Linked DNA regions of Macaca fascicularis. The protein of the gene in region 6 purifies or fractionates together with the protein of the main gene of each other region. This does not show direct contact. Links are inferred from orthologs where the notes say so. Each region holds a gene or a part of one and is shown on either strand. Other genes may lie near its edges. The genes, in order: SNAP23, PTTG1IP, STX8, VAMP3, VAMP4, STX7 and VAMP8.

The links.
Region 1: the proteins of STX7 (region 6) and SNAP23 purify together in Homo sapiens (affinity purification with mass spectrometry; 3 studies listed by BioGRID and IntAct, counting the BioPlex papers as one, with this or other methods). This does not show direct contact. The link is inferred for Macaca fascicularis from reciprocal best matches to the Homo sapiens genes STX7 and SNAP23.
Region 2: the proteins of STX7 (region 6) and PTTG1IP purify together in Homo sapiens (affinity purification with mass spectrometry; 3 studies listed by BioGRID and IntAct, counting the BioPlex papers as one, with this or other methods). This does not show direct contact. The link is inferred for Macaca fascicularis from reciprocal best matches to the Homo sapiens genes STX7 and PTTG1IP.
Region 3: the proteins of STX7 (region 6) and STX8 purify together in Homo sapiens (affinity purification with mass spectrometry; 5 studies listed by BioGRID and IntAct, counting the BioPlex papers as one, with this or other methods). This does not show direct contact. The link is inferred for Macaca fascicularis from reciprocal best matches to the Homo sapiens genes STX7 and STX8.
Region 4: the proteins of STX7 (region 6) and VAMP3 purify together in Homo sapiens (affinity purification with mass spectrometry; 3 studies listed by BioGRID and IntAct, counting the BioPlex papers as one, with this or other methods). This does not show direct contact. The link is inferred for Macaca fascicularis from reciprocal best matches to the Homo sapiens genes STX7 and VAMP3.
Region 5: the proteins of STX7 (region 6) and VAMP4 purify together in Homo sapiens (affinity purification with mass spectrometry; 3 studies listed by BioGRID and IntAct, counting the BioPlex papers as one, with this or other methods). This does not show direct contact. The link is inferred for Macaca fascicularis from reciprocal best matches to the Homo sapiens genes STX7 and VAMP4.
Region 7: the proteins of STX7 (region 6) and VAMP8 purify together in Homo sapiens (affinity purification with mass spectrometry; 7 studies listed by BioGRID and IntAct, counting the BioPlex papers as one, with this or other methods). This does not show direct contact. The link is inferred for Macaca fascicularis from reciprocal best matches to the Homo sapiens genes STX7 and VAMP8.

What each region holds. Positions count from the first base shown.
Region 1 is NC_088381.1:19,102,931-19,107,011, reverse strand, and holds the start of SNAP23 (synaptosomal-associated protein 23), read right to left. Parts: upstream 2,801-4,081; 5' UTR 2,741-2,800; exon of another isoform or gene 2,690-2,740; intron 1-2,689. UniProt on the Homo sapiens protein: Essential component of the high affinity receptor for the general membrane fusion machinery and an important regulator of transport vesicle docking and fusion.
Region 2 is NC_088377.1:2,169,845-2,174,005, reverse strand, and holds the start of PTTG1IP (pituitary tumor-transforming gene 1 protein-interacting protein), read right to left. Parts: upstream 2,801-4,161; 5' UTR 2,737-2,800; coding exon 2,622-2,736; intron 1-2,621. UniProt on the Homo sapiens protein: May facilitate PTTG1 nuclear translocation.
Region 3 is NC_088390.1:9,661,652-9,665,730, forward strand, and holds the start of STX8 (syntaxin-8), read right to left. Parts: upstream 2,801-4,079; 5' UTR 2,778-2,800; coding exon 2,761-2,777; intron 1-2,760. Other genes in the region: CFAP52 (cilia- and flagella-associated protein 52), read left to right, coding at 3,688-3,757. UniProt on the Homo sapiens protein: Vesicle trafficking protein that functions in the early secretory pathway, possibly by mediating retrograde transport from cis-Golgi membranes to the ER.
Region 4 is NC_088375.1:227,095,572-227,099,071, reverse strand, and holds part of VAMP3 (vesicle-associated membrane protein 3), read left to right. Parts: intron 1-2,659; coding exon 2,660-2,818; intron 2,819-3,500. UniProt on the Homo sapiens protein: SNARE involved in vesicular transport from the late endosomes to the trans-Golgi network.
Region 5 is NC_088375.1:29,354,531-29,358,535, forward strand, and holds the start of VAMP4 (vesicle-associated membrane protein 4), read right to left. Parts: upstream 2,801-4,005; 5' UTR 2,631-2,800; exon of another isoform or gene 2,347-2,630; intron 1-2,346. UniProt on the Homo sapiens protein: Involved in the pathway that functions to remove an inhibitor (probably synaptotagmin-4) of calcium-triggered exocytosis during the maturation of secretory granules.
Region 6 is NC_088378.1:36,468,806-36,472,731, forward strand, and holds the start of STX7 (syntaxin-7), read right to left. Parts: upstream 2,801-3,926; 5' UTR 2,691-2,800; intron 1-2,690. UniProt on the Homo sapiens protein: May be involved in protein trafficking from the plasma membrane to the early endosome (EE) as well as in homotypic fusion of endocytic organelles. Mediates the endocytic trafficking from early endosomes to late endosomes and lysosomes.
Region 7 is NC_088387.1:36,008,971-36,012,962, reverse strand, and holds the start of VAMP8 (vesicle-associated membrane protein 8), read left to right. Parts: upstream 1-1,192; 5' UTR 1,193-1,288; coding exon 1,289-1,291; intron 1,292-2,652; coding exon 2,653-2,811; intron 2,812-3,992. UniProt on the Homo sapiens protein: SNAREs, soluble N-ethylmaleimide-sensitive factor-attachment protein receptors, are essential proteins for fusion of cellular membranes.

The DNA.
Region 1 (4,081 bases), on a different chromosome or scaffold from region 6:
TAAAAGGGACCAAGGTACAGCTTGGGCTGTTGCTTCAGAGGCTGCAAGCCCCAAAACCTTGGTAGCTTGCACGTGATGCTGGGGCTGCAGGTGCACAGAAGTCAAGAATTGAGGTTTGGGAACCTCTGTCTAGATTTCAGAAGATGTATGGAAATCCCTGGATGTCCAGGCCAAAGTCTGCTGCAGGGGAAGAGACCTCAAGGAGAACCTCTGCTAGGGTGTTGCAGAAAGGAAACATGGGGTTGGAGCCCCCCCAGAGTCCCCACTGGGGCACTGCCTAGTGGAGCTGTGAGAAGATGGCCACCATCCTCCAGACTCCAGAATGGCAGGTCTACAAACAGCTTGCACCATACACCTGGAAAAGCCGCAGGCACTGAATGCCAGCCTAGGAGAGCAGCCTCTGGGCCTGAACCCTGCAAAGCCACAGGGTCGGAACTGCTCAAGCCCTTGGGAGCCCACTCTTTGCATCAGCATGCCCTGGATGTGAGACATGGAGTCAAAGGAGATTAAAATAAGCTTTAAGATGGAATGACTGTCCCACTGGATTTTGGACTTGTATAGGGCCAGTAACCCCTTTGTTTTGTCCAATTTCTCCCATTTGGAATGGGAGCATTTACCAATGCCTATTCCCCCATAGCATCTTAGAAGTAACTAACTTGCTTTTGATTTTACAGGCTCCTAGGCAAAAGGGACTTGCCTTGTCTCAGATGAGACTTTGGACTTGGACTTTTGGGTTAATACTGGAATGAGTTAAGACTTTGGAGGCCTGTTGGGAAGGCATGATTGTGTTTTGAACTGTGAGGACATGAGATTAGAAAAGGGCCAGGGGAGCCGGGAGTGGTGGCTCACGTCTGTAATCCCAGAACCTTGGGAGGACGAGGCGGGTGGATCATGAGGTCAGGAGTTCAAGACCAGCCTGGCCAATATAGTGAAATCCCGTCTCTACTAAAAAATACAAAAATTAGCCAGGTGCGGTGGCTCACGCCTGTAATCCCAGCACTTTGGGAGGTGGAAGCCAGTGGATAACCTGAGGTCGGGAGTTCAAGACCAGCCTGGCCAACATGGCCAAACCCCATCTCTACTAAAAATACAAAAATTAGCCAGGTGTGGTGGCAGGCGCCTGTAATCCCAGCTACTTGGGAGGCTGATGCAGGAGAACTGCTTGACCCTGGGAGATGGAGGTTGCAGTGAGCGGAGATCATGCCACTGCACTCCAATCTGAGCAACAGAGCAAGACCCCATCTCAAAAAAAAAAAAAAAAAAAAAAAAAAAGGCAGGTTTGGTGGAATGCATCTGTAGTCTCTATTCAGGAGGGTGAGGCAGGAGGATGGCTGAAGTGTTGGAGGTTGTAGTGAGCCGACATAGCGCCACTGCGCTCCAGCCTGGGTGACTCTGTCTCAAAAAAAAAAAAAAAAAAAGAAAGAAAGAAAGAAAGAAAGGGGCCAGGGGCAGAATGATATGGTTTGGCTACCCATAACCTCATCTCGAATCTGGTGGGAGGTGATTAAATTATGGAGGTGGTTTCCCCCATGCTGTTCTCATGATACTGGTTTTATAAGGGGCTCTTTCCCCTTCACTCTGTCTCTCCTGCCATCTTGTGAAGAAGGTACTTGGCTTCTCCTTTGCCTTCCACCACGATTATAAGTTTCTTGAGGCCTCCCCAGCCATGCAGAACTGAGAGTCAATTAAACGTCTTTCCTTTATCAATTACCCAGTCTCAGGTATTTCTTTTTCTTTTTCTTTTGGAGATGGAGTCTGACTCTGCCTCCCAGGCTGGAGCACAGTGGCATGATCTCAGTTGACTGCAAACTCTGCTTCCCAGGTTCAGGGAATTCTCCTGCCTCAACCTCCGGAGTAGCTGGGATTACAAGCATATGCCACCATGCCTGGCTAATTTTTGTATTTTTAGTAGAGATGGGAGTTCATCATGTTGGCCAGGCTGGTCTCGAACTCCTGATCTCAAGTGATCTTCCCACCTGGGCCTCCCAAAGTGCTGGGATTACAGGCATGAGCCACCAAGCCCGGCCTCGGGTACTTCTTTATAGCAGTGTGAGATCGGTCTAATACAGACTCCATTCCAGGAGATGACAAATAGCAAAAGGCAAAGTGATACTCCCTTCTTGACTTTTTTTCTCCCCTACTTTTATGTCTTTACGTTTTCTCCTACCATCAACTGCCTTTCCTAACATTGTGGTGACTAATGATTAAAGAAGAAAAAAAGGACGAGATGAAACTGCACTTTACAGTACTTTTTCCCCCCACCACTACAATCCCGAATTGTGGAATTCATTCTTTTCCTGATCCTCTAATTTGTGCCGCGAGGTAAGGCTGAACCTTTCTACAGAGAAAGTGCTATCCAATACCAGGAACCTGAGAGTCCTTCCTCAAGCCATTATCTCAGAGCTATCTGGTCACCGTGGTCACCAGACATGCAGTCTATTAATGTCAACCACAGCAACACAGTGGGGGTGAGGGACGGGAGGTGATCTCTGTTTAATTTCGAGGAAGGGTCCAGAGAATCACCATCCAGCCACCTTCCTCCACTGGCCCCTCGATGTTCTCACGGCACCTCCCGTCCTCGCTCCGGGCCCATTTGCCCAGTAAGGGCCAGAGCGCCCCCTCCTCCGCTTAAGCCCGACCCCACCAACTTTTCAACCAATACGATATACTCTTTCTTCTCAGGACATACTCTCCGACTTCATCCCGGTCAGCTCCCTCCGTCCCACTCCTGGAGACTCACCAAGCGGGTAAGGCCACTCCTCTCCAGCCGCAGCTCGGACACCCCAACACCGGACCTGGCGCGGCGCCCTAGTCGCGCCTGCGCGCGCCGAGCCCGCGCGCCTGCGCACATCCCGTGCGCCGAGGACACGGACACACCCCTTCAGCTGGAGCCAATCACGGTGCTGGGGGTTTAAATGTCCCTGCCACGCAGGCGGAGAGTCTGGGAATTCACCAGTTAACCGGATAGATTCCGGTCATGCCCGAAGCTGGGAGGTGTTCATGCAATAAACATTTACGGAGGGCAAACCGTGTGCCAGGCACTGTGCTGGATGAACGATGAAGAAAAGAAAGCGAATAGAATGCTTTCCCTGCCCTTCAGCGTCTTTCAATATGTCTAGACTAAGATATAGATATGTAAACAAATTTATAGTGAATAGAATACAGTGCATAGCACATAGAAAATCTGAGGCGCCTTTGGCTGATAATGAACAAAGCGTTTTATTCTTAGGGGTGTCTGGAAGGGTTCCCGGAGGAAGTGACTTGAGTCCTGAAGGATAAGTAGGAGTTCCCCCGGAAATCCGGCAGAGAAAGAGCTAGAGTTTTCCAGGCTCTGGGAAACAGCTTATGTCGAGAACAGCATAACGCCTTCTGGAAATTTCTAGTAGTTCATCCTTGTAAGAGGCTTAGAGCTAATCGTACATCCCAGAGTGTAGAGGGAAGAAAGCTTTAGAAGGCCGACAATCGCTAGATTTTGGAAGGCCTTGGAATTTTAGACCACTTTGTACTATGGGCACTGAAAACTATTGAAGAGTTTTAAGCAGATGGATGATTATTGTAAACTATTTGCTGCAGGAACCCTTCCATGCACCTCTAAGAATAAAACAAACTGCTGGAAATCAAGAAAATAAAGTGCTTCACCAGGCACAGTGGCTCACACCTGTAATCAATCCCAGCACTTTGGGAGGCTGAAGCGGGCAGATCACGAGGTCAGGAGTTCGAGACCAGCCTAGCAAAAATAGAGAAACCCCCGTCTCTACTAAAAATACAAAATATGGCCGGGCGTGGTGGCTCACGCCTGTAATCCCAGCACTTTGGGAGGCCGAGGCGGGCGGATCGCGAGGTCAGGAGATCGAGACCATCCTGCTTAACACGGTGAAACCCCGTCTCTACTAAAAATACAAAAAAATTAGCCGGGCGTGGTGGCGTGGTGGCGGGCGCCTGTAGTCACAGCAACTCGGGAGGCTGAGGCAGGAGAATGGCCTGAACCCAGGAGGCGGAGCTTGCAGTGAGCCGAGCTCGAGCCACTGCACTCCAGCCTGGGCGATAGAGCAAGACTCTGTCTCAAAAAAAAAAAAAAAAA
Region 2 (4,161 bases), on a different chromosome or scaffold from region 6:
TCAGCAAGTGTTAAGTATTTCCTCGTCATGCTCCTGTCACACAGCAGGCCACACGCTGCAGTCTCCAGGCTGCAGTTCTCATCAGAACCAACAGCCAAAGAGGCATGGTGCCCACTCTGCACTGGGACAGAGGCATGAAGACCAACTACATTGTCAATTCCAGGTGAGAAAAGAGGGCAGATATGGAGACAAAAAACGTTCTTGCAAATTCCACTATTTCAAAACAAAGAGTTGAAGATTAATAGTATATATCAACGCTGTGAACCCTGTGTACACTGTAGCACTCTGTGAAGTTAGAAAGCCATGCTTCTCAGAGTGATGGGCCGACTACAGATACCCCTTTCCACATCAGGAGGCCCCACTGTAAGGAGCGGCTGGGTGGCACCTACCACCTCAGGGACCTGCACTGGCCACACTGCTCCAGCCCTCAGACAGTAGTCCGAACTCCTTTTTGGGGTCGTCTTTCCTCCAGATGAAGCTCTTGGATTGAGTCTGACCCCATACATAAATAAAGTGGGGTCCAAAAGCCCTATCCAGGTTTCTTTAACTTCAAGAATCTTGCTCCAAAGATCTTCAATACACCATGGGTTCTTAATGTCTCTCCTCCATCAAAACACATAAAAAGATGCTTAAAAGTGTTGGATTTGGATTGGTATAATGTATTCTTTAAATTCACACAGTGTCCTTGTAAAGAAGACAAAATGTTTTAAACATTAGTATTGTGGTCACATTCCTGTAACTATGACAAGCAGTAAAAAATCTCACACTAAGCAAGTACTCTGTGGGAAGATGCGAGTTCTCCAAGCTATAAATAGGCCCTCTCTCCAAGGACAAGGGGCACGCAGACACCACGGGCGCCTGGGCAGTGAATGCCAACATGACGTGGCACCATTCTTCCTATTTCAAGGGGTCCCCAGTAAGAGAAACAACAGTTCACCCACCGGGACTTGGAGATTACTCTAAGTGGAAGTAACCAAGAGTGGTCTCCTAGAGGAGAAGGAAGTGCTTTTCAGCTGACACACCGAATGGCAGTTCTGGATTAATTCCCAAACTGTCCACTCCACTTGTCCACACCCATCTCTGCACCCTTCAGAAGTGCAGAGTAGAAGGAATCACAGTAGTCAAACAAAAACCTCAGGGTGGCTTTCGTAACACTCCCACTTTAACAATGCAAGCAAACACACCCCCGAGCCACTGATACGAGTTTCAAGTGAATCACACACTCTCCCGGCAAACGCCCATTCCGTTTCTTGAAACGTATTCATTGCACATTTGTGCTTAGAACTCAATGTGGGCCAAAAGTTCCCAGTACAGTACCACTGGCCTCCTTGATTAACAAACTTCAAGGCAGCTGCATTGCTAACGTCACAAACACTAAGTACACATGGAAACAGATAAGAAGAAACACAAATAACCCCGCACTGGAATAAACATTCCATAAGGTCACAAAAAGAAAAAGTGCTCTACTATGCTTAGCAGACCCTGACAGAGCCTGGGCTAACATGAGTTGAGAAAAGTATTAGCCCCTCAAGCTGGGCCCAGGTCAACCCTAATTGTAAGGGTCAGGAAACTGAAGTTAAGGTGGCACTATTCCCCACCACTAGTGGTCCCCTGGAAACTCCAAACACGGAAACCAGCATGACATTCTGAAACAGGTCCAACCATGACACTCTCCAGCTTAGAACCTGCTGGATTTTCCCGCAGCCCACCAGGTCCTGGAGGCCCAGCCCCACAGGAAGCCACTCTCTATAAACACTCCCGGTTTCTGGAACTCTGAGTCTCCTGTCACGCACTTTCCTCCACTAGCACTCCTCCAGCCCCCGCGCCCTCACTGCTTCTTTCTTGGTCAGCCTCCCGGGGACTCAGCTCCTCTAGGACAGAAGCTATGTCTGTCGGTCACCACTGTGGCCGCAGGGCCTGGTGCAGATGGGATAAACGAATGAAGAATGCCACCTGCGGGTCTGGACAGCGTAGACCCGCAATCAGCTTGCTTCAAAATCAGATGCTACAGCCTGGTTTTGGAGAAGCCTTCCTTTCTGAGGCATAAGATAAGTGCGAGCGTTCGCTGCTGTGCATGGAACTGTGGCCCGGAGGGAGCGGCGGCGTGAACGCCGGCAACTGCAGAGACACGCCGGCCGCGGCCCCCATCACCCTCCAGGGGCCTGGGGCCGCCATCCCGACCTGCACCCGACCAGCTGTGCGACCTCGAGCACGTCGTGAGCCGCCATCCCGGCTCGGGATCGAACCCGAGGAGAGCTGTCTGAGGTCTCAGTGAGGCTAAGAGAGGCCGCAGGTGCCAAGAGTGCCGCCTGCCGAGCGAGGGCCAACCCGCCGCCACGCGCGAGGAGAGGCCGCAGAGACTGGACAAAACAAAAAGACAAAGACAAAGGCGGCTCTTCCCCGGCCCGCGCCCCAGCCGTGACGGCAGCTCCCGCGGCCGCCAGACCGGCGTGACCCTCGAGAAGCCGCCGCCTGGGCAGTGCCTGCGACCGTGGGCCTAGGCCGCCCGCCGAGCCCAGCGCCCAGGCCGCGACCCCGACCCGGACCCGGACTCCGACCCCGACCTGGACCCACCAGCCGCCCCGCCCCCTTCGCGGCCCCGCCCGCCCCGGCGCCCTCACCGGCTCCGAGAGGCTCCTGCGCGGCGGCCACCGGGATGAGCAGCAGGAGTAGCGCGGCGCCACCGAGGGGCAACCTCCAGTACGGCGTCGGCCCGCGGGCCACTCCGGGAGCCATGGTCGGCGGTCGCTCCGTCGGTCAGGGGCTCGTTATAACTCCGACTACAGCACAAGCTGTCTCTGCCAGAAAGAGCCGCGGCGCCGGAAGTGGACCTGCGGGGCGGGGCCACGCGACTGCGCAGCCTCAAAAAGCAGCTCGCTCCGCCCCCTCGCCATCCGGCCCGCCTCCCGGCGCGGCTGAGGTTCAGTGCGCCTGCGCGATGGAGGAACGGCGCCCGGTAGTGAGGAGAGCGGCTGAGGCTCAGTGCGCCTCCGTGGCGCGGGTGGGCGAGGAGTGACCGAGGGGCCCGCCGCGGCTCCTGCGCCTGCGCGGCGGGGACGGGCGGCCGGCTGAGAGGCGTGGCTGAGCGCGGTGCTTCGGTGGCGGAGGTGACGGCGGCCTCCATCCTAAAGGGCTACGGGCGTCCCGGACGACGGCCCCAGGCCCTGCTCACGCTGCTCTCAAGTGAGACCTGGAGGAGACGCGGGTGGGCCCTCGTAGTCCGCGCCGGTGCCCGCGCTCCACACCGCGGCTTCCCGCGCTGGGCTCCCGCGGATGTCCGCGTGGGGTGTTTCGGGGATTTATTTATTTTTGTACGTTAACCGCACTGGAAGCGGCCCCAAAATAGGCTGAAACGTGTAGTGCTGAAGCTGCCACCTAAATTCCCGAGAGAGGCGCCGTTTCTCCTCCCTGGCTTCTCGCCGACGCCCTCGCTGCTCGGTTGATGAAAGGACTAAATGGTGACGGACATTTTTAAGGCGACTTAAGAAATGGCAAAAATACATTTAGAGGCGTGAACCTGAACACAGTCTGCCGCTTTAAGCCCCACGAGAGCCGGGGCCGCCCGCTCCCGTGCGCCCGCAGCTCCTTTCTCGGGTCCGGGATTCTCTGGTGCCAGGGACGGAAACCTCCTGCCTTCTTGGTTCATGACCCTTGTAGATGAACTTCCCCTGTTTTCTGCACTGCTTAGACCAGAAGACGGGAAGCCGTGACTGCCGCACCCTCTGACGGGTTAAATGTACCCTTCCCCGAAACAGGCACTGCCCGTCACCCATCAAACGCCGTGACTGCGCCCACCTCGTAGGAAGGACGCCGCGATCCTGCTAAAAGCCCCTCGGCCTCTGCCTGCCCGAGGGCACCCTTCCCCTGCCTGCTTCCGAGGGCGGACTCCATTCCTCTGGAGTTGGTGTTTCCGGGTGGGCCAGCCTCCAACCACCTTTGAATAAACCCCCCTTACATTAGATTCTGACTCTGTGTGATTTTAGGTTGGGATCTGGGCGCCTGCAGATGGGCCCGAAGCCAGCCTCCTGTGATCCGAGCCACTTCTCTGGCACTCGGAGCGCTGGCACCCGCGGAGCGGCCTTGGCTCACCCGACCGCCTGGGAACTGATCGGGGTCTCTGGCAGCCTCCCAGGGCTGAGGTTCAGACTGTTCCGTCTACCC
Region 3 (4,079 bases), on a different chromosome or scaffold from region 6:
TATTCTCTCTAAAGCCTGCTACCCAGAGGCTTCATTTGCATGATAAAATCTTGGTCTCCACTACCCCTTATCATAACCCAGACATTCCTTTCTATTGATAATAAGTCAACCAATTGCCAATCAGAAAATTTTTCAAACTACTTATGACCTTGAAGCCTCCCCCACCCCCTTCAAGGTGTCCCGCCCTTCTGGATTGAGCCATCATAAATCTCACATGTATTAACTCATGTATTATTCTTCCTAAATTGTATAAAAGCAAGCTGTTCCCCAACCACCTTGGGCACAGGTCTTCAGAACCTCCTGAGGCTGTGTCACGGGTGCATTTGTTATTATTATTATTATTTTTTTTTTTGAGACAGAGTATCGCCCTATCGCCCAGACTGGAGTGCAGTGGCGCAATCTCGGCTCACTGCAACCTCTGCCTCCCAGGTTCAAGCGATTCTCCTGCCTCAGCCTCCCAAGTAGCTAGGATTACAGCGCGTGCCTCCACGCTCAGCTAATTTTTTTTGTATTTTTAGTAGAGACGGGGTTTCACCATGTTGGCCAGGCTGGTCTCGAACTCCTGACCTCGTGATCCACACGGGTGCATTCTTAACCTTGGCAAAATAAACTTTCTAAATTGATTGAGTCCTGTCTCAGATACTTTGGGGTTCACAGTATCAAGGGCCTTAAAAATGTTCGTACCCTTCAGCCCTCACTTTCAACAATCTAATGAGAAAGCCACTTAGTCAAACTAATTGAGAATAACAAAAAAAAAAATAAATGCTTTCACTTTCAACAGTTCTAATTCCTACTTCTAGACAGGGAGCCCAAGGAAATAAGAGATGGAACAAAGGAACTGCCTTTGCAATCATAAAACAAAACAAAACATCAAAAAACCAAAAAACTAATATGAGGAGAAAAATAAATTATGGTCATTCATGTGATGCATTATTATGCAACATTAGAAAATTATGAGGCCGGGTGTGGTGGCTCACACCTGTAATCACAGCACTTTGGGAGGCCGAGGCACGCAGATTGCCTGAGCTCAGGAATTCGAGATCAGCCTGGGCAACACCGCGAAACCCTGTCTCTACTAAAATACAAAAAATTAGCTGGGTGTGGCAGCATGAGCCTGTAGTTCCAGCTACTCTGGAAGCTGAGGCAGGAGAGTTGCTTGAACCCGGGAGGTGGAGGTTGCAGTGAGCCAAGATCATGCCATTGCACTCCAGCCTGGGTGACAGAGCAAGACTCCATCTCAAAAAAAAAAAAAAAGAGAGAGAAAGAAAATTATGTTTTCAAAGAATGTCCAATGACATAGAGAAATGCTGTTTTACTATATATAAAATACAGATTAAAGTAACAAATTCATTGTTAAAAATTAAACAATGGCTATTTCCAAATTATAGAGTTAAAGATGCTATTTATTTTCCTCTGCAAATTTTCAATATTCTCTAAATTAGATATTCTCTATCAAGGGGTGTATATAACTGTTAAAATTAGGGATTTGGGTTTTTTGGTTTTTTTTTTTTTTTTTTTTTTTTTTGAGGCGGAGTTTCGCACTTGTTGCCCAGGCTGGAGTGCAATGGCGCTATGTCAGCTCACCACAACCTACATCTCTCGGGTTCAAGCGATTCTCCTGCCTCAGTCTCCTGAGTAGCTGGGATTACAGGCACCCACCACCACGCCCAGCTGATTTTGTAATCTTTAGTAGAGAGGGGGTTTCTCCATGTTGGTCAGGCTGGTCTCGAACTCCCGACCTCAGGTGATCCACCTGCGTCGGTCTCCCAAAGTACTGGGATTACAGGCGTGAGCCACCACCGCGTCCGGCCTAAAATTAGGTCTAAAAAGGTCAATGCTAAATTAAATAATTGACCCAAATAACCTAGATTCCAGGTAACTCAACTTTGTTCTTGGAACCCATTCTTCTAACATCCAGGCTGAGGGTAACTTAAAGAATTATAAACTATATTAGAAATAACAACATAAGACATATATTCCAACAAGAACGTTATAGAGCTGTAATGTTTTTAATTATTAAGCAGAAAGGTCAAGTCTATGTTCAATAACAATATGTTCCTTGGGATCAAACAATATGTTCCTTGAGATCAAAAGTTACATCTTTCATCAAGCAGTCCTTGGGATTGACTGCTAAATAAATGACCCTTATCACCTATTGTTTTACTGCAGAAGCTACTGCTAAAGGAAAAGACTTCATGATATTAACTCAAGAAAGTGCAAAATGCCTTATAAACAAGCGCACAATTTCCCTCCCAGGTTCCTGTATCTGGAAGGGCCCCCAGGATCTAGGTCTTAGACCCAGCTGGTTACTAACTGGCTGGTGACCATGGATTCTGAACCTCGGTTTCTCCACCTGTGAAATAAGGGGGTTTACCGAGATGGACAGACATGCTACAAAAAGGTTATTTCGACTTCACTTTTATAGGAGTCCAAGGAAGCCTGCACCGGCCAGCTCCACAACCAGGATGGGCGGGAAATCCCCGCAGCGAGATGCAGCCCAGAAAAGCTAGAGAAATATTCAGAGATTTGGCTCAAATCCTCAGCTCTCCAGCTGACCACCCGGTCTCCTTCCCCAGCTACCCTTGGAAGGACCAAGGGTGGCGGGATGTGGCTGAGTCCCCTCAGTAGAGGAAGGGTCTCGCTGCCCCTCCCCTCATCTCGAAAGGCCTCCAGGGGCAATGCGAAGTGATCGCCTGCTCCCCGGAAGCCCGGCTTCCCCGAAGGTCCCTCCGCGCACCGCCACCCTCACCCTGGGCTCACCAGGGGTCCGGTGCCATCCTGCAGACTCCGCCCGCCGCTCGGACTCTTCCTGCTCTTAGCAGCTGACTACGGCGGCCCGCACGGCTCACTCCCCGCAGTTCGTCCCGTGCGCGACCGGAGCCTGGAGTTTGCAAAGTGAATAACTAGAGCCTAAGAACCATGATCAGAGAAAGGAAAGTGCTCCCCTGGGAACAGTTGGCTGGCGCAATCTACTCCCACTAAGAGACGCGAACAGCTGAGCTCAGTTAAAATTGTTAAATAGAAACTAACCATTTTCCCAGGAAGGTGGGAGCGCTTGCAAGACCTCCGTAGCAGTTACTTAAAAATTTATCCTGCTTCAAAAAAACAAAACAACAAACAAAACACTAGATTGCGGTGCGACTTGCACACTTCGTAAACTTACTACAACCTACTTTAAGTTAACTTTATGATATGTAAATTATACCTCAATAACGCTTTTTAAAAATATATTTAAAATATTTTTTCACGCTGCTTTAAACAGGGGCCCAAAGAAGTATCAATTTTATATATATATTTATGTATTTATTTATTTTATAGCAGCCTTCCCATCAGTCCTCTATGCTTGATTACATATTTTTAAAAATGCCATTCATTTGGTGCTTGATTTTAGAGTTACTAAGAAGTCACAGACTCAACACGAGGGGATGGAGGAATTAGTTCTGTGCAGTTAGTGCCATCTCCTAAATTTCCAGAGAAACAGCAGACACAAAAAAGATGAATCCCACCCTATCTCCCTCCCAGTCCCTATCTCCCTTCATTTCCAAGAATGCTAATGAACTCGAATTCGGCAGGCTGGGTTTCTGCGCGGGCGTGGAGCTGGCGCGCATGCGCTCGTCCGTTACCATAACGACCAGAAGACGCTGCACCCACTAGGGCGGAGAGCAAAGTAAGCAGAACCTCCCAGGGATGGATAACAAAATTTCGCCGGAGGCCCAAGTGGCGGAGCTGGAACTTGACGCCGTGATCGGCTTCAATGGTGAGGCCTCCAGCATCTTTGGGCTGGCTGGTTTAGGAACTCGGAGGACCTGTAGTGCAAACAGGAATAGTGAGACACCGGGGACACCTGAAATTCAGTGTGGGACAACGGCAGGAGCCCTGGGCAGGGACACACACGGAGGACCCGCATAGCCTGACCCTCCCCAAGGCCTTGGAGAGTCACTTCCTCGATCCGAGAGCCTCAGGGAGTGGGATGGTTTTTACCAGCTCTGACAAGCGCCAGCTCCTAAAAGGGACCAAATGCCTCCTCCCCAGGCGGGCCGGATGGGTACGGGTGGTTGTAACCCTTCTGCCACTAGGTC
Region 4 (3,500 bases), on a different chromosome or scaffold from region 6:
CCAGTAAGAAACCCATTGTAATTCTGTCCTGCCTGAAATTTCTGTTGACTTATAAAATCAAATTGGAATTTTTTTTAACCAAAGGAATTTTAAGGAGGGTTGTTTTTTATTGAGGTGAAATTACCATAACGTACAACTAAACATTTTAAAGTGTATATAATTGAGTGTTATTTAGTATATTCGTAATATTTTGCAACTGTTACCTCTTTCCATTTTCAAAACTTTTTCATCACCCTAGAACACTTCATACCCATTTAGTAATCATTCACTATTTCCCCTTCCTCCCATTTCCTTGTTACCTCTAATCAGCTCTCTCTTTCTGTGGATTTGCCTGTTCTGGATATGTCATATAAAAGGAATCATACAGTATGTGGCCTTTGGCATCTGCCTTCTTTCACTTAGCACAAAGTTTTTCGCATTCATTTAAGTTGTAACGCGTTGTACCATGTTCCTTTTTATGGTTGAGTAATATTCCATTGTATGTGTATACACAATGTGTTGAGCCATTCATTTGTTAATGAGTCTTTGAGTTGTTTACATCTTTCAGCAATTATGAATAATGCTGTTATAAACATTCACAGGAAAGATTTTGTTTAGACATATGCTTTCATTGATCTTGAATATATACCTAGGAGTAGCATTGCTAGGTCATAGTAACTGTATGTTTAATTTTACGAGGAACTGCCAAATTGTTTTCTACGATAGCCACACCATTTTATTTTCCCACCAGCAATGTCCAAGAGTTCCTGTTTCTCCACATCCTTGCCAACACTTGTTTTCCATTTTGATTATAACCATCCTACTGAGCTCTTTGGGTTTTCATTTGCCTTTCTCTAATGATTAGTGATGGTAAGCATCTTTTCATGTGCTTATTGGCCATTTGTATGTCTTTAAAGAAATGTCTGTTCAGGCTTTGCCCATTTTTTAATTGGGTTGTTTTTGAGTTGTGAGAGTTTTTTATGTGTTCTAGATATTAAATCTTTCTTTAGTAGACATGTGATTTGCAAATACTTTCTCCCATTCTGTGGCTTGTCTTTTACGTTCTTCAAAATGTTCTTTTTTAATTTTTATCTTTTTTTTTTTTGAGACAAGAGTCTTGCTCTGTCACCCAGGCTGGAGTGCAGTGGTGCAGTCTCAGCTCAGTGCAGCCTCCAAGCCCCGGGTTCAAGTGATTCTCCTGCCTCAGCCCCCAGAGTAGCTGGAATTACAGGCACCCACCGCCTTGCCCAGCTAATTTTTTGTATTTTTAGTAGAGACAGTGGTTCACCATGTTGGTCAGGCTGGTCTCGAACTCCTGACTTCAGGTGATCCACCTGCTTGGGGCTCCCAAAGTGCTGGGAATATAGGCATGAGCCACCGCACCTGGCCTGATAATGTTCTTTGATGCACAAAAGTTTTTAATTTTTATGAAGTCCAGTGTATCTGTTTTTCCTTTTGTTGTTCTTGATTTCAGTATCAAATCTAAGAATCCACAGTCAAATCCAAAGTAATGAAGATTTACCCTTATGTTTTCTTCTAAGAGTTTTATGGCTTTAGCTCTTACACTTAGATTATTGATCCCTTTTGAGTTACTTTTTGTATATAGGGTGAGGTAAGGATTCAACTTCATTCTTTTGCGTGTTGGCTCTTCAGTTGGCCCGGCACTGTTTATTGAAAAAACTGTTGGATGGCCTTCGCACTCTTGTCAAAAATCAATTGGCCATAAATGTTTTCTAGTTTTCATTGTCCAAGTCATTCGCCTTTTGGTTAAATTTATTCCTAGGTATTTTATTCTGTTGGATGCTATTGTAAACACAATTGTTTCCTTAATTTCCACCTCAGATTATTTGTTGCTGGTGTATAGAAACACAACTGATTGCTATGTGTTGTTGTACCCTGCAATTTTGCTGTATTTGTTAGCTCTAGCAGTTTGTTGTGGATTCTTTGGTATTTTTTATATAAAGAGAATCATCTGCAAATACAGATAGGTTTATTCTTTTTTTCCAATTTGGATGCCTTTTCTTTCTCTTGACTAATTGTTCTGTTCAGAACTTCCAGTACAGTATTGAGTGGCAGTGTGAAAGTGAGCATCGTTGTCTCGTTCCTGATCTTAGGGGGGATGTCTTTCACCATTGAGCATGATATTAGTTGTGGATTTTCCCATAAATGCCCTTTATCATATTAAAGAAATTCCCTTCTATCCTTAATATGCTGATTGTTTTGATGATGAAAGAGTGAGCTCATTTTTTTTAAAGCGAAAGTTTGGCTCAAAGTAATAAAGTGCTGACCTGAAAGAACAATGTGCCCATAGATTGTCTTTGAAGTCTCTGTGCCTCTATTTTTTTTGGGACAGAGTCTCACTCTGTCGCCCAGGTCGAAGTGCAATGGCGCAATCTCACCCACTGCAACCTCCGCCCTCTGGGTTCAAGTGAGTCTCCTGCCTCAGCCTCCTGAATAGTTGGGATTACAAGCACCCAGCACCACGCCCGGCTAATTTTCTTATACTCTTAGTACTGAGACAGGGTTTCGCCGTGTTGGCCAGGTTGGTCTCGAACTCCTGACCACAGGTGATCCACCCGTCTCGGCCTCCCAGAGTGCTGGGATTACAGGCGTGAGCCACCACACGTGGCCCTATTCCTCCATTCTTTGTGCATTACTTGTTGTGATCACACTCATCTAGGTGGTGGACATAATGCGAGTTAATGTGGACAAGGTTCTGGAAAGAGACCAGAAGCTCTCTGAGTTAGACGACCGTGCAGATGCACTGCAGGCAGGCGCTTCTCAATTTGAAACGAGTGCAGCCAAGTTGAAGAGGAAATATTGGTGGAAGAATTGCAAGGTAATTATCTTTTAACTCACCTTTACATTTAAGCCCCCTTCTCCATTCTCAGAGAATTAACAGGCTACAGATAATGGACTTTCATGACTCTGGGAGGTGGGTTTGATTTCCTCCACATGGAAATGTGGGTCCACTGTGAATCTGAAACACTGACTACATACCCTTTCCTAGCCTCACCCTGGGAATCCTCTATGTGTTGTGGCTGATCTTCAGAAGATGCACGTAGAACAAGAATATCCAAAATCACTCACAGTCATCAGCCCCTCCCAACCCTCTACCCCAGCAGGGCCCCAAACACATAGGAGAGGGCTGGAATTGGTTAGTTTTCGTGTAGTTCTGTGAATGGTTCCAAGGTCAAGGGAAAGAAATGCTAGAAAGCCACAGTGTGCCCAACAGAAGAGTAGAAAGCAGCCCGCCCAGGAGCACGAGCCAAAGCAGATTTTATACAGTCAGTGAGTCAGCGTGCTGCGACCAGATCCAGATGTATCCTGTCCTCTGCCTTGTTTACAAGTGACACTTTGAGACACAGGGCAAGCTGAGCAGCCTTTCCATATGTGGAAAACTTGTATACACACACAAATGCCTAGCTAGAGGCCACACATCATTTGAACATCTTTTAAAAAGCAGGGAAGTTACCTTCAGGCCCTAATTGAGAACATTTAATTTAGGCTTTAGAAATTAT
Region 5 (4,005 bases), on a different chromosome or scaffold from region 6:
CCATAGAACCCAAAAAGGACAGGGTTCAGAGAGCTTCCCGAAAGCTGAACAAGTAGAGGGTTCCTGGACGGTGGCACACCTGGAGAGGGCACAGAAGCTCTGTACCCCTTGCCCTATGCACCTCTTCCATCTGGCTGTTGATCTCTATCCTTTATAATAAACCAGTAAACAAAGTGTTTCTCTGAATTCTGTGAGCCACTCTAGCAAATAAATGGAACACAAGGAAGGGATTGTGGGAACTATGATTTATAGCCAGTCAGTTGGAAGCACAGGTAAAACAACCTGGAACTTGTGACTGGCACCTGAAGGGGGGAATCTTGTAGGCTTAAGCCCTCAACCTGCCCGATCTGATGCTATCTCTAGGTATACAGTATCAGAATTGAATGAGAGAACACCCAGCTGGAGAACCTGCTGCAGAACTGCCTGCTTGCTTGTGAGGAGAAGTCTTTTTGGGGTCACAGGAGTATTCTGTGTTGAGAGAGAATAGGAGAAACTCAATTTTTCTTCTATCAAAACAACTGGATTAAACAAAACTAGTTTTCTTTGCTACAGAATGACTCACATCCTGTTATATGCTAATATGCATTGTGACTTTCCAGGAAAATGCTTGTGTATGCAACATATTAAAAATTTTTTTTGAGAAAAAGTTGTTCTATGCAAATAATGAATTTTCAGTATTTTTGACTAGATGGTAGATGAATACTCAGCAATTCAGGATAGCTCAGAAATAATGTTATACTGTGTGCTAGGCACTGTGCTCAGTGATATGCATGCATTTTCTTTTACTCTTTATGACCCTTCTTTGAAGTAGGCACCAAGAAACTAGGAGAAAACTAAAGTTTAGTAACGATAACGTTAGTCACTACACTCATTGAAACAGCAGAGATACAGGCCTAAATTAATCAATGGCTGTGCATTATCAGTTTTAACTGTTTTTTTCAATTAGTTGCTCATCAGGTTTACAGAATTCTGTTCTAGAAAGACCCACTTCCTGGTAACAACCCAATAGTCCTGTTTCCTTCTCCACAAGAAGAAACACAGCCCTTTAAATTAGGTATAGTTAGATATCAGTTTGTTGGTTAATGATATACACTTAAAAAAGAATAATCCCAGAATCATGTTTCACGAACCAAATAAAAGTAATATTTTAAGTCAGCTGCTTGTCAAAACAAACGGACACAAACACTTTTCTTTGGTAAGAAATGCTTCCAAATCAGAAATTATTCACTTGTAACAAAAACCAAACTCTTGCTGCCTAACAGCTCTTGAGTTCTTGGTTCCACAATATTTCTGTCACATACATCTGGCCCTTTTATTCCTCATACTTTGATTTCAGAATACTTAATTCTTGCAGAAATGTAACAGAATGCATGGAAAAACAGATGACAAGGCAAATTACTGAAGAACTTGTGCTTTTAACTATATCTGTATTTAGATTTTAACCCCTGCAAAGAGGCTCCCTCAACATCTCAAAGCAAACAACAGGCTGACTTATATAATGCCTTTATGAGACATAGGGTAAAACTACAATCTTAAGGAGGAGCAAACCCCATATTCAGGTCTCTTAATCCCAGGAAACCATGTGCAACAAATAGAAAGCCCATCAGCAAAGCAGTAGGCAGATTAATTAGCTACGTTGATGAACTTTGACGTTATTTGCAACTGGTGATTATTAGTAACTGATGACATGTGTATCAAACAACTAGTAGAAATGAATCATGCTCAGAAAGTAGACAAGGATATCGTCCGCCTAAGATTCTCCTACAAAAAAGACATGTGAATTCAGGTGTTTGTGACTAGGTATACATGTAAATAAGAGAGCTATCATGTACTTCCACATTGAGGATAGACCACCACTATAAAATTCACTTAAAAAAGTCACATCACCGTATGCTTCTTATACATCGGCATATACTTAAATGTCTATGTATGCATTTTTGTAAGTAGTACGTTATCTAGTCAACAGCTTTGAATCTGGGCAGAGGCTCTCCTTTTCCCAGCCTCCATTCCCTTTCTGACTCGTCTTCCTTGTCTGTCATCAGCCGTCTTGCTTGATGCAGTTTCACAGAAATAAAGTGACTTGGATGGACACAAACCGGAGATGTCATTTGCAAAACCTGTCAAGTGTAACGATTCACCCCCACCTTCCGGTCATTATAAACACAGCAGGGTTGGCGCTCTTTCTCCTGAGCCCTTTAAATACACAATTCCAGGCAGCTCCGTTCACCCCCCACACCCAATCTGTCGCACCAGGCCACGTCCCTGGATATATCTGCTCCTAACACTGGCCCTTCCTGCCCCACGGTACCCCCTGGCATTCCTGACTGCATCCCACTCTTAACAAACCTTCCCCATCCATGGCACTGTTTTCTTCCCATCACCCAGAGTTCCCTTCCATTCCAAGTCTTCTCTTCCTCAACTGCTCCCCGTCCGCACACCCCTGTCCTCGTCTTCCTTCCTCACGACACCCCGGGCCCCAGCCTTTTCCCACTCCGGGGTCCCTTCCTAGATGCCGGAGGCCGGCCGACCAGCCCGACTAGGACGTCGGGGGGCGGCGAGGCAGGGCGTCTTCTTCGTTTCCTTCCTCCTCACACCAGCCCCTCCCGCTGGGAACAGGCCAGCGCCAGTACCTGAGGCTCCCGGGGAACTCCCGGCAGCTCTCCCGGGCTGGCGGTGCTGGGCGGGCGGTGCTGGGCGGGCGGGGGAAGGAGTGGGAAGCCGAGGTAAAAAGCTGGGAGGGGGAGACAGTGGATGCAGACCCGGCGTCGGCCGCAGCGCCGCAGAAGCGCCTCCGCTCATCGAGCCGATCGGCGCTCGGCGGCCTGGCGCCAGGCGGAGAGGGCGGGTCCAGGGCACGGAGATAGTCGAGGAAGTCGATTCCGCCGAACGCGCTTCGCCTAAAAGAGCCCGGACCCACACGCAGTTTAGGTGCAGCTTTCCAAGGTTATGCTGTGCTTTAGGGGAGGAACGACCACCGGTTCTCCAGGTTCCGGTCGCGATCCGGTGGACCTGCTTCGGGTTCGTCTGGGGCCTTTTCTGAAGAAAGGAGATCTGTTCGATCCCTTGTTTACAGAATTAGCTACACTTGGAAAGAGATGTTAGGGGTTCCTAGGCCAGGCTCCTCCCTTTAGATAGGTGGAATATCTGGTTCAGAGAGGAGACTGACTTAAAGTTACACAGCTAGTTTAGATAGATACGGAACGAGGGCTCGGTGTTCTTTTCCTGGTATCCCTTAGTTGTAACCTGAAAGCCTTCAGGTTTCAGGGAAATCGCCCTTGCCAGGCCATTCCGCCACTCTGCCCATTCCTCCCTCACTCCCTCCCCCTCCGCCCAATTTGGTATCATGTTTAGATCTCGAAGCCCGCTGTAGCTGGCTACCAAAAACAAGTCCTAATTTTGTTTTTCCGTTCTCTTATTTGTTTTATTATCCATTCCTCCCACGCCCCAGCTGGATTATTTTACTCATTGAATCATATTCACTACACATCTTTTAAAATGAATACAGTGTCTATGGGTCCTTTGTTGATAGAGTATTTTAACTGTCTGAAATGCTTTGCCAGGCACTTTCTAAAGATATAAAAATAAGAGGGGGTGTTCAAGAACAAGAGTAGACAAAACAGCAGGAGGAAAGATCTGAGGACACTAAAGGAAAGGAAAGAATAGACACCCTCTTACCAAAAAGTTGCTCTTCTTTTGATTTTTTTTTTAATGTAAAACTGTACTAACGAATTTGAAAAATGCCATGACTAAGGCAATGATGCTCAACTCTGATTCACTTGGAGTTGAATCACTTGGAAAGCTTTTAAAACTGCGTAGGTGCCCACGTGTTACCTAGATTCTGATTTAAATGGTCTGAGATTTAGAAACAGCCGTTGGGTTGTCAGTTGAAGGTTCTGAAAGCTTGATGCTAAACTCAGTTGCCTATGTTTATGCCAAGTTGCTGACTTGGACTGAAACGGCCCACTTAGAAACCTCTCATGGTTTATATCTCTGTCTAGGCGTGAT
Region 6 (3,926 bases):
ACATTGTATACATCTACTGAGGTATCACATGTACCCCACAAATGTGTATAATCATTATCTGTCAATTAAAATAAAAGCAAAAAATATCTTATTATAAGCTGTTAACAAGGTAACTGCAGTAAGAAACTACACTTTTACTCTACATTTCATTTTTTGATGTGACAATTTACACCGTTTTATATTGTATATCACTTAAATTACATTGTAGCTCTTGTTTTTAAAAAATTAAAATTAATTAAAATTAAGTTAAATGAAAAATTCAGTTCCTCGGTCATACTAGACACCTTTCAAACGTTCAAAAATTCTGTGTTCCTAGTGGCCAGCAGCTTGGACAGCTCATTCACAGACCACGTCCATCATCACAGAAAGAGCTATTGCACAGTGCCAATCTCCACATCGCAATAATCATCTTTCTATGAAGATACACAAACACCATAAAGAGAAAAACAGGAAGGGAGAATCAAAGTGCAACACTCAGATGAGCGTCTTCTCAAGACTGCTTCTAAAGAACACAAAAGAATGAACAAAGGGAACGTTAAAATGTAATCTTAAAGTGTCAAACACTACTCCCAGTTAAAATCAGATACACTGTAGAATCCTTAAGATTTCCATTTAGCATATATCTCATGCTCTATAAATCTACTCTGGGCAAAGAAGGGGTCAATTTCACTTTCTTAATCATTAACATCAGCATAAACAACTGGACTTCTCTCTACCCTCTACCCCAAATAAGTTCTGACGGGTGGGGGGTGAGCATTTTTTTGCCTGTTTTGTGGATTGCACTATTCTCAGTGCCTGGCTACATCATAAGTGCTTAACAAATATTTGTAGAATGAATGAATGTACCCACTTCCTAAGAACACACACCCAGCGTGAGGGTAAATATTACCATTTCTAAAACATAAAATTCCAGTGCCTTCTTTCAGATCCCGAAGGTCGCAGGCTCCTTGCTGCCTTAGGCCTTTGCTGGGTGCCATTTCCTATTTCTAGAAGGCTCTTCTCATGATCTCCATGTGACTGGCTCCTTCTCCCCAGCAAGGCCTCATCACATGCTAGAGAAACCTTTGTGACCACTCTGATCTGAAAGTGAGAACTCACCACAGGCCACTCTTTGTCAATCTAACTTACTGCTTCACAATACTCAATAGTCTAATTAGTTACTGTTTATTATTGATCCCTACACCTCTGGAATACAAACCTTTATTATTGATCCCTATACCTCTGGAATACAAACAGGAGCTACTTCTGGAATATAAACAGGGGATAGATGACCTTGTCATTCTGTGTAATCTACAGTGCCTGGTGCATACTAAATGCTCAAGGAACTGTCTACATAAGTATCCTCTGCACAAACTACATTAACTGCATTCTTTGGCCTTAGATCTTCCATCACTGAACTTTTGTACTACTTGGTTTTAGTTCACAATATCAAGGATTATTTTTTTCACACTTTCACACATGAAACTTGCAAATTAAATGGAATCACAGCAAACTTTACTCAGACTTACTGTGGATATTTTCTATAATTTACTTTTCAATCATCAGCACTTAAAGTTTGGGGTCATAATCAAAATGAGAATTGATTTTGTTATCAAGAGCAACATAAGTAACATATCCGAGGAAAAATGATGATGTTAATGACTTAATATGGTATCATATTAACCTCTGCAGACACTGTGAAGTTAAGAGCATAATTCTTAACTAGTCACAAGTCTGAGGCCAACTTCTCAAAGTGGCCTATAAGGCCTGGCCACATCACAAACACAGTTTAACACCATTATTAGCCTCTGCCCAGGTGTGCTCAGAGAACCTGCAGAAGAAACGCTCACTTCCAACATTATTAAATAGCACAGCATTTCATAATTACTTTCTTTTCTTCCAGATTCTAGGCAAGTTTTATATACTATATATAATTATAGTCAGAATACAACGATCTGAGGTAAACAAAAATTAACGTATATAGATAACAGTCAAGCAAATGTGAGAAATTTGTGGGAAAAAAACACACAGCATTTGATCAGAAATGCAACTTTTTTTTCTTTGTCTGAATTTAAAGAAAGTAAGTAACTAAAAAACAAGGTGGAGGAAATACTAGAAATATTTTATGTATGTTTAAAGGTTTTTATGTAAATTAATTAAACGTGTATACTAAGAATGTCAAAGTATGTTAAGTCATCAAGCCAAATAAAACAAATACTACGAGCCACTGAATAAACAAACATACACGGTTTGTCTGCTACAGCCATACATTTTTCAGTTCCTCTATATTCGGGAAGTTTAAAGTGTGTTTTTCAATCCATGAGTTGAAAAGAGGAAGAGGTCATTTGGTCGTGTCTGGATTCCTGGGCTGGGCCCCAGCCGGGTCTGGCGCCGGCCACGCCGTGCGCCTCGGGAGCGCTGCCCATGGGACCACGGCGGGTGCGTGGCTGGCCAGGCCCACCTAACCACAGCCGCGCACTCCAGGAATGCGGAACGCGCCGCGCCCCTGCACCCGGCCTGGGGGTATGGGGAGCCGCAGGCGCTCCGGGAGCCGGGGCAGTCCGGCCCTTCCTCACCTACCGAGTGCCTGCTGCAGAGCGCAGGGCGGCGGCCACCTGACCACGCGCACAAACAAGGAGGAGCGGCGCCGCAGGGGCACCGCGCCTCCCTGTCGCACGGCCAGGAAACCCCCCTCCCCAGGGTCCTCTTACCTGGACCTCGGTGGCTCCCTCCTACACCTCCGACCACCGTCACCCACCGACCCCCGAGCCTTCAGCTGCAATTCTCAGCTGATGGGCGGTGGCGTGGGGACGCCCAATGCGCATGCCCGCAGCACAATTCAAGGAAGAAGGCGGGGTTCACCCCTTTTCTATTGGCCCGCGGGGCTGAGTGACAGCGGCCCTCACCGCCCCTTCGGTTCCAAGCTAAGGAATGGGAGTATCAGCAAAATTGCAAGGGAGCTGTTCTTTGAAGCCTGACGTAGAGATGGTGAACGCCTCTTAGCCTGCGTGCAAAAAAGCAGAGGACAGAATGGAGGACAGTTGTCTTCTTTATCTGGTGAAGCCTTCTTGCACGCAGGTCTTCACCCCGCCCCTTTAGCTCCTGCCTATCTTGTTTGCTAACCTTTAACTGCAGTAGATCGCGTTCACAGCTCTATCGAAAAATGCAAAGGCGAATACAAAATCCTAGCGGGAACAATGAAGGAATAAGTGAAGAGTCATCTCTGGGTCCTCACTTAGTAAACAAGTTTTCCTAGTACGTACAAGTCATTCGAAGCATTCCTGAAAAGCAGGGCGTAGTTTTCACAGGGTTTAAAACAAGCAGAGACTGTTCCAATGATAAATATGCAAATATAATATAATTGTTAGATGAAAAGCATCAATTGCTACAAATGAAAGAAAGCCCTCACCAAATTAATTAGAAGATAGATTGGCTTAGCCTTCGCCTATATTAAGGAAACACTATTTTCTAAAATGATTACCCGGATATGTGATATCAAAAGTCCAGATGCACTTAGGTGGAAAAAAGCAAAACCTAGTATAGAATTCTGGTTGAAACTCACCAACACTAAGTGTGGAATGTTATCTGTTTAAGAGAGATGGACAGAGAAAGAATAACCCAGAAAAGGAGTAACCCACAAGATAGGAAATAAACCAGGAAAAGGCAAACTAGAGAATGAAGGGAAAAAAGAGGGAATGGTCCATCATGTCATCTGTCACAGAAAGTTCAAGTAAATAAAGAACTGAAAGTAGTGCATTGTACTTGAGAATTAGGAAGTGGCTGGTGAACGTAGGAAGAGACATTTCAATCGTTGAAGGAACTCATGAAAGGATCTTACATCTGTGTGAGGTTTAGTGCACTTTCCAAATACCATTCATATTATCTTTGATAGACCTCTGGGCTCTGGGAGGGGAAGGTACAATGCACTACAGAAGAACCTGAGATTA
Region 7 (3,992 bases), on a different chromosome or scaffold from region 6:
TAGTGGAAAAGTCCTTTGCCTTGGGCCCCTGCTCTGGTACACCAGGGCAGTCTTCTGATCACTGATCACTGACTGGGATCAATTACCTCTCTGGTGGTCCCTGAAGGGAAATGCAGAATTGCTGAACTCTGGAAGGGAAGGAGGGGTTTGGTGAGCCATCATTACAGACACTGTGCTAGTGGCAGTGCACTGCACACGCTATCTTTTTTTTTTTTTTGAGACAGAGTCTTGCTCTTATTGCCCAGGCTGGAGTGCAATGGCATAGTCTTAGCTCACTGCAATCTCTGTCTCCCAGGTTCAAGCGATTCTCCCGCCTCAGCCTCCTGAGTAGCTGGGATTACAGGCACCTGCCACCATGCCTGGCTAATTATTTTGTATTTTTAGTAGAGACGGGGTTTTGCCATGTTGGCCAGGCTGGTCTCGAACTCCTGACCTCAAGTGATCTGCCTGCCTTGGCCTCCCAAAGTACTGGGATTACAGGCGTGAGCTACCATGCCCAGCCTCTTTTTGCTTCTTACCAGCACTGTCTGAGCTAAGCATCAGCACCTGCAAACTCCACAGAGGTGAAAAGGTTCACTCAGGGGCCTGTAACTAGTAACCCAGAGCTTTCTGAATCAGAGCCCAGGATCACAGTATTCCAGACTTCAGGGGTTTTAGTGCTTTCTGTCACTGAGGGACCTGAGAACAAGTGTTATCCAGCAAGAAATTTTCATAACTGCATTTTATTTCCCTGTGAGCCAGGCCTGGCATGGTTGATCTCTGTCTCTAGAAACTGGAGTCAGATATTCAAGACATTAAAAGGAGATGGCTGGTGGGGCGTCATGGCTCCTAGGACTTTGGGAGGTTGAGGTGGGAGGATTGTCTGAGCCCAGGAGTTTGAGACCAGCCTGGGCAACATGGTGAGACCTCATCTCTATTAAAAAAAAAAAAAAAAAGAAAGAGAGAGAGAGATGGCTGCCCTTTCTAGATCAGGAGGTCCAGCCTCAGGAAACCTTGGAGGGCTGCTTGATCTTTCTTTTCTAATTCCTGAAAAGTTAGAAGACCTTTAACATCTGAGAGCCCTATTACTCTAAGCTTAAGCTCTTGTTTGGGAAGCCACTGGGTGGACAGTGAAGAGTGCCCGCCTACCTGGGGAAACCTGAGTTAGGTGTGGCTGGAGCGACTCGAGATGCGAGGTGGGCGGGGGCAGGCTGAAAGCTGGAGCAAGCAGGAAGTGAGCTGACGGCCACCCTGGGAGGAAGCCGACTAGGCTAATTCACCTGCTGATCGGCCCGGGCTGCTCTGAGACATGGTGAGCGAACTGGAAACTAGGAAAGGGCTGATTTAAAGAGGAGCCAGAAGGGGCTCGGGACTGGGGGTTGGCTGTGGGGGGGGAGGAGAGTTGGCGGCAAAGTTAGAGGGCTGGGCCAGTGCTGCCTGTGGCCTCTCCTCTTTGACAACTTGGCTGCAAATAGCTCTGAACCGTCCTAGCAGGTGTTTCTATTCCTTCTTCCTCCCTCCCCTGACCTCTGTGCTGGTGGGGAGCTGGGCTTCCGTGCCAGTGCCAATGGGGGCTCCGAATTCCAGGCAAAGTGTTGTTGTGCCTTCCTCCTCCAGGGAGCCCGAGGCGGGTGTTGTGACACCACCAGGCAGTGCTTGGGCAGTTTCCAGTTCAGATTCCAGCCCAGCGGCAGGAGCTCTCCTCTCTGGCCTTTCACTTTATCCCTACACAGAAACACAAAGGATTTGTGTGTCCACTGAGTCCTTTGGGTGTCCTTTCTCCATTAACATGAAGAAGAGAACTAAGGGTTTATAAGATAACCAGAAGTTGGTTCTCTGTGATAAGCTAGTTCTGACCCATGCCACTGGCCTGTTTTTGGAGGTCAAGGAGGGAGGAGCTTAATAATGTTTTTCTCTCCTTGTTCAAAAACCTTGTCATGAAGTCTCTGAGATGAGACATCAGCCAGGGAGGACTAGTCCTCCATTTCCCCCAACACCCAGGCGGGTATTTTTATTTAATGTCTGCATAAGCAGGTGGTTGCTTGGTGCCTGTGCGTGGTGCCCAGTGGTAGGGAAAGCAGAAGTGTGTGGCTCAACGGCTGTGGGCGCCTTCTGGGGTACTTGGTTGCCTGTTGTTCTGGGTCACAGCAGCAATGGCATTGCGGCCAGGGCCATGCTCCAGCAGCTATTTAGAGGGGCAGATGGGTCAGGCTGGGTGAGGGTGTTTTGCTGGCCAGCACAGACACTTTCAATGAGGATCCCGAGAAATCAGGAAAGAGGGGTGGCTCCGGGAATTGTAAATAGTGGTGGGCTCTGCCCTGGAAAGGGAACATTGTGAGATGCCGGCTCTGCTGTATTCTATGGCCTTCTCTAGGGAGCAAGGAAGCAGTGGGGAGGGATTTAGTGATGCGCTGCTTTTCCTTGTCAGGGGTCCTAACAATCCTGAAAGAAGTTTGATCTAGTCTCTTTAGCATCACGTCTTACCTTCTGGGGCTTACAAATGCATTTATTTTTGATTACACAAGTAATACATGAAAACATTCTCTTTGTAAACATTTCAAGCATTTTACAAAAAGCTGAAGTCTGCCTGAGGCCTTACCCTCCCCAGGCCTCTGAGGCCAAGTCTCCAGTTCCCCCACCACTTGGTCTAATTAACCCCGTGTTGCTGTGCAGGAGGAAGCCAGTGAAGGTGGAGGAAATGATCGCGTGCGGAACCTGCAGAGTGAGGTGGAGGGAGTTAAGAATATTATGACCCAGAATGTGGAGCGGATCCTGGCCCGAGGGGAAAACTTGGAACATCTCCGCAACAAGACAGAGGATCTGGAAGCCACAGTGAGACAGGGAGCCCACTGGAGGCTGGAGGAAAAGAGGAAGGGAGGGAATTTCTTTTTGGTGGGGCAAAATGAACAGGAGGGTCAGAAGTGTAACATTTCTGTTGCCTTTCACCTGGTTTGGGAGCTGATGTGAGCTGAGTCTCCACTTCTGAATCTGCTCTGCTCCACAGATTGTTATGGATCCCAGGGAATGGATCCCATGACTGGGGCTTGAGGTGGCAGCTCACCCATAGAGGCATATTCTGAGACCGATAGCTCAGTCAGCCCATGCATTCTCAGGCTTCTCTCCCGGGAAACTTGTTTTCCCTTTGAAGCCTGCCCATGACAATCATTTGGATCTGACCTTCCCAGGGCAGAAGTATTGGCTTTGAGGAAACCCCCCCACCGTGGCCTCTAGCCTTCTCTAGGAGCTATTAGACAAGGGGTGGGAAATTGCTGGTATCTTGCTGAGTTGGCTTTAAAAAGAAGGAGGAAAGAGCAGAGAAATGCTTTGATCCCAGGGTCCCCTGCTAGATGAAGGCTAAAATAATATCTCCCACACATCTTGCTAGACCTCATTCTTCTCTCTCTCCAGCCAGGGGCTGCGGCCAGCTGTTTCAGGGAGGAAGTAACTCCAAAGTTGAGCAAAGTCTGGAGCCTCAGGTTTTGTGTCCAGCTGGGAAGCTGGCTCTGGCTTTCTTAGTCCTGTGTGAACTCTTGGCTCTTGGGTATTGCTCCCTTGTCTCCCTGGGGCTCATTGCCTGTTTCTGTAGCTTAATTGTAGCTTAATTTGGGGAGCACGGCCCCAGGATTTTTTTTTTTTTTTTTTTAATAGAGCCTCACTCTGTTGCCCAGGCTAGAGTGGTGCAATCTCGGCTCACTTCAACCTTCGCCTCCTGGGTTCAAATGATTCTCTTGCCTCAGCCTCCTGAGTAGCTGGGATTACAGTGTGCACCACCACACCTGGCTAATTTTTGTATTTTCAGTAGAGACGAAGTTTTGCCATGTTGGCTAGGCTGGTCTCGAACTCCTGACCTCAGGTGATCCACCCACCTTGGCCTCTCAAAGTGCTGGGATTACAGACTTGAGTCACCATGCCTGGACAAGCACTAGGAAATTTAGTGTCTATAACTCGAATTGCTGGGCATGGGGAAGAGTGCATGGAGGAGGAGGAGTTCCCTTACTTCCAACCCTCTGTAC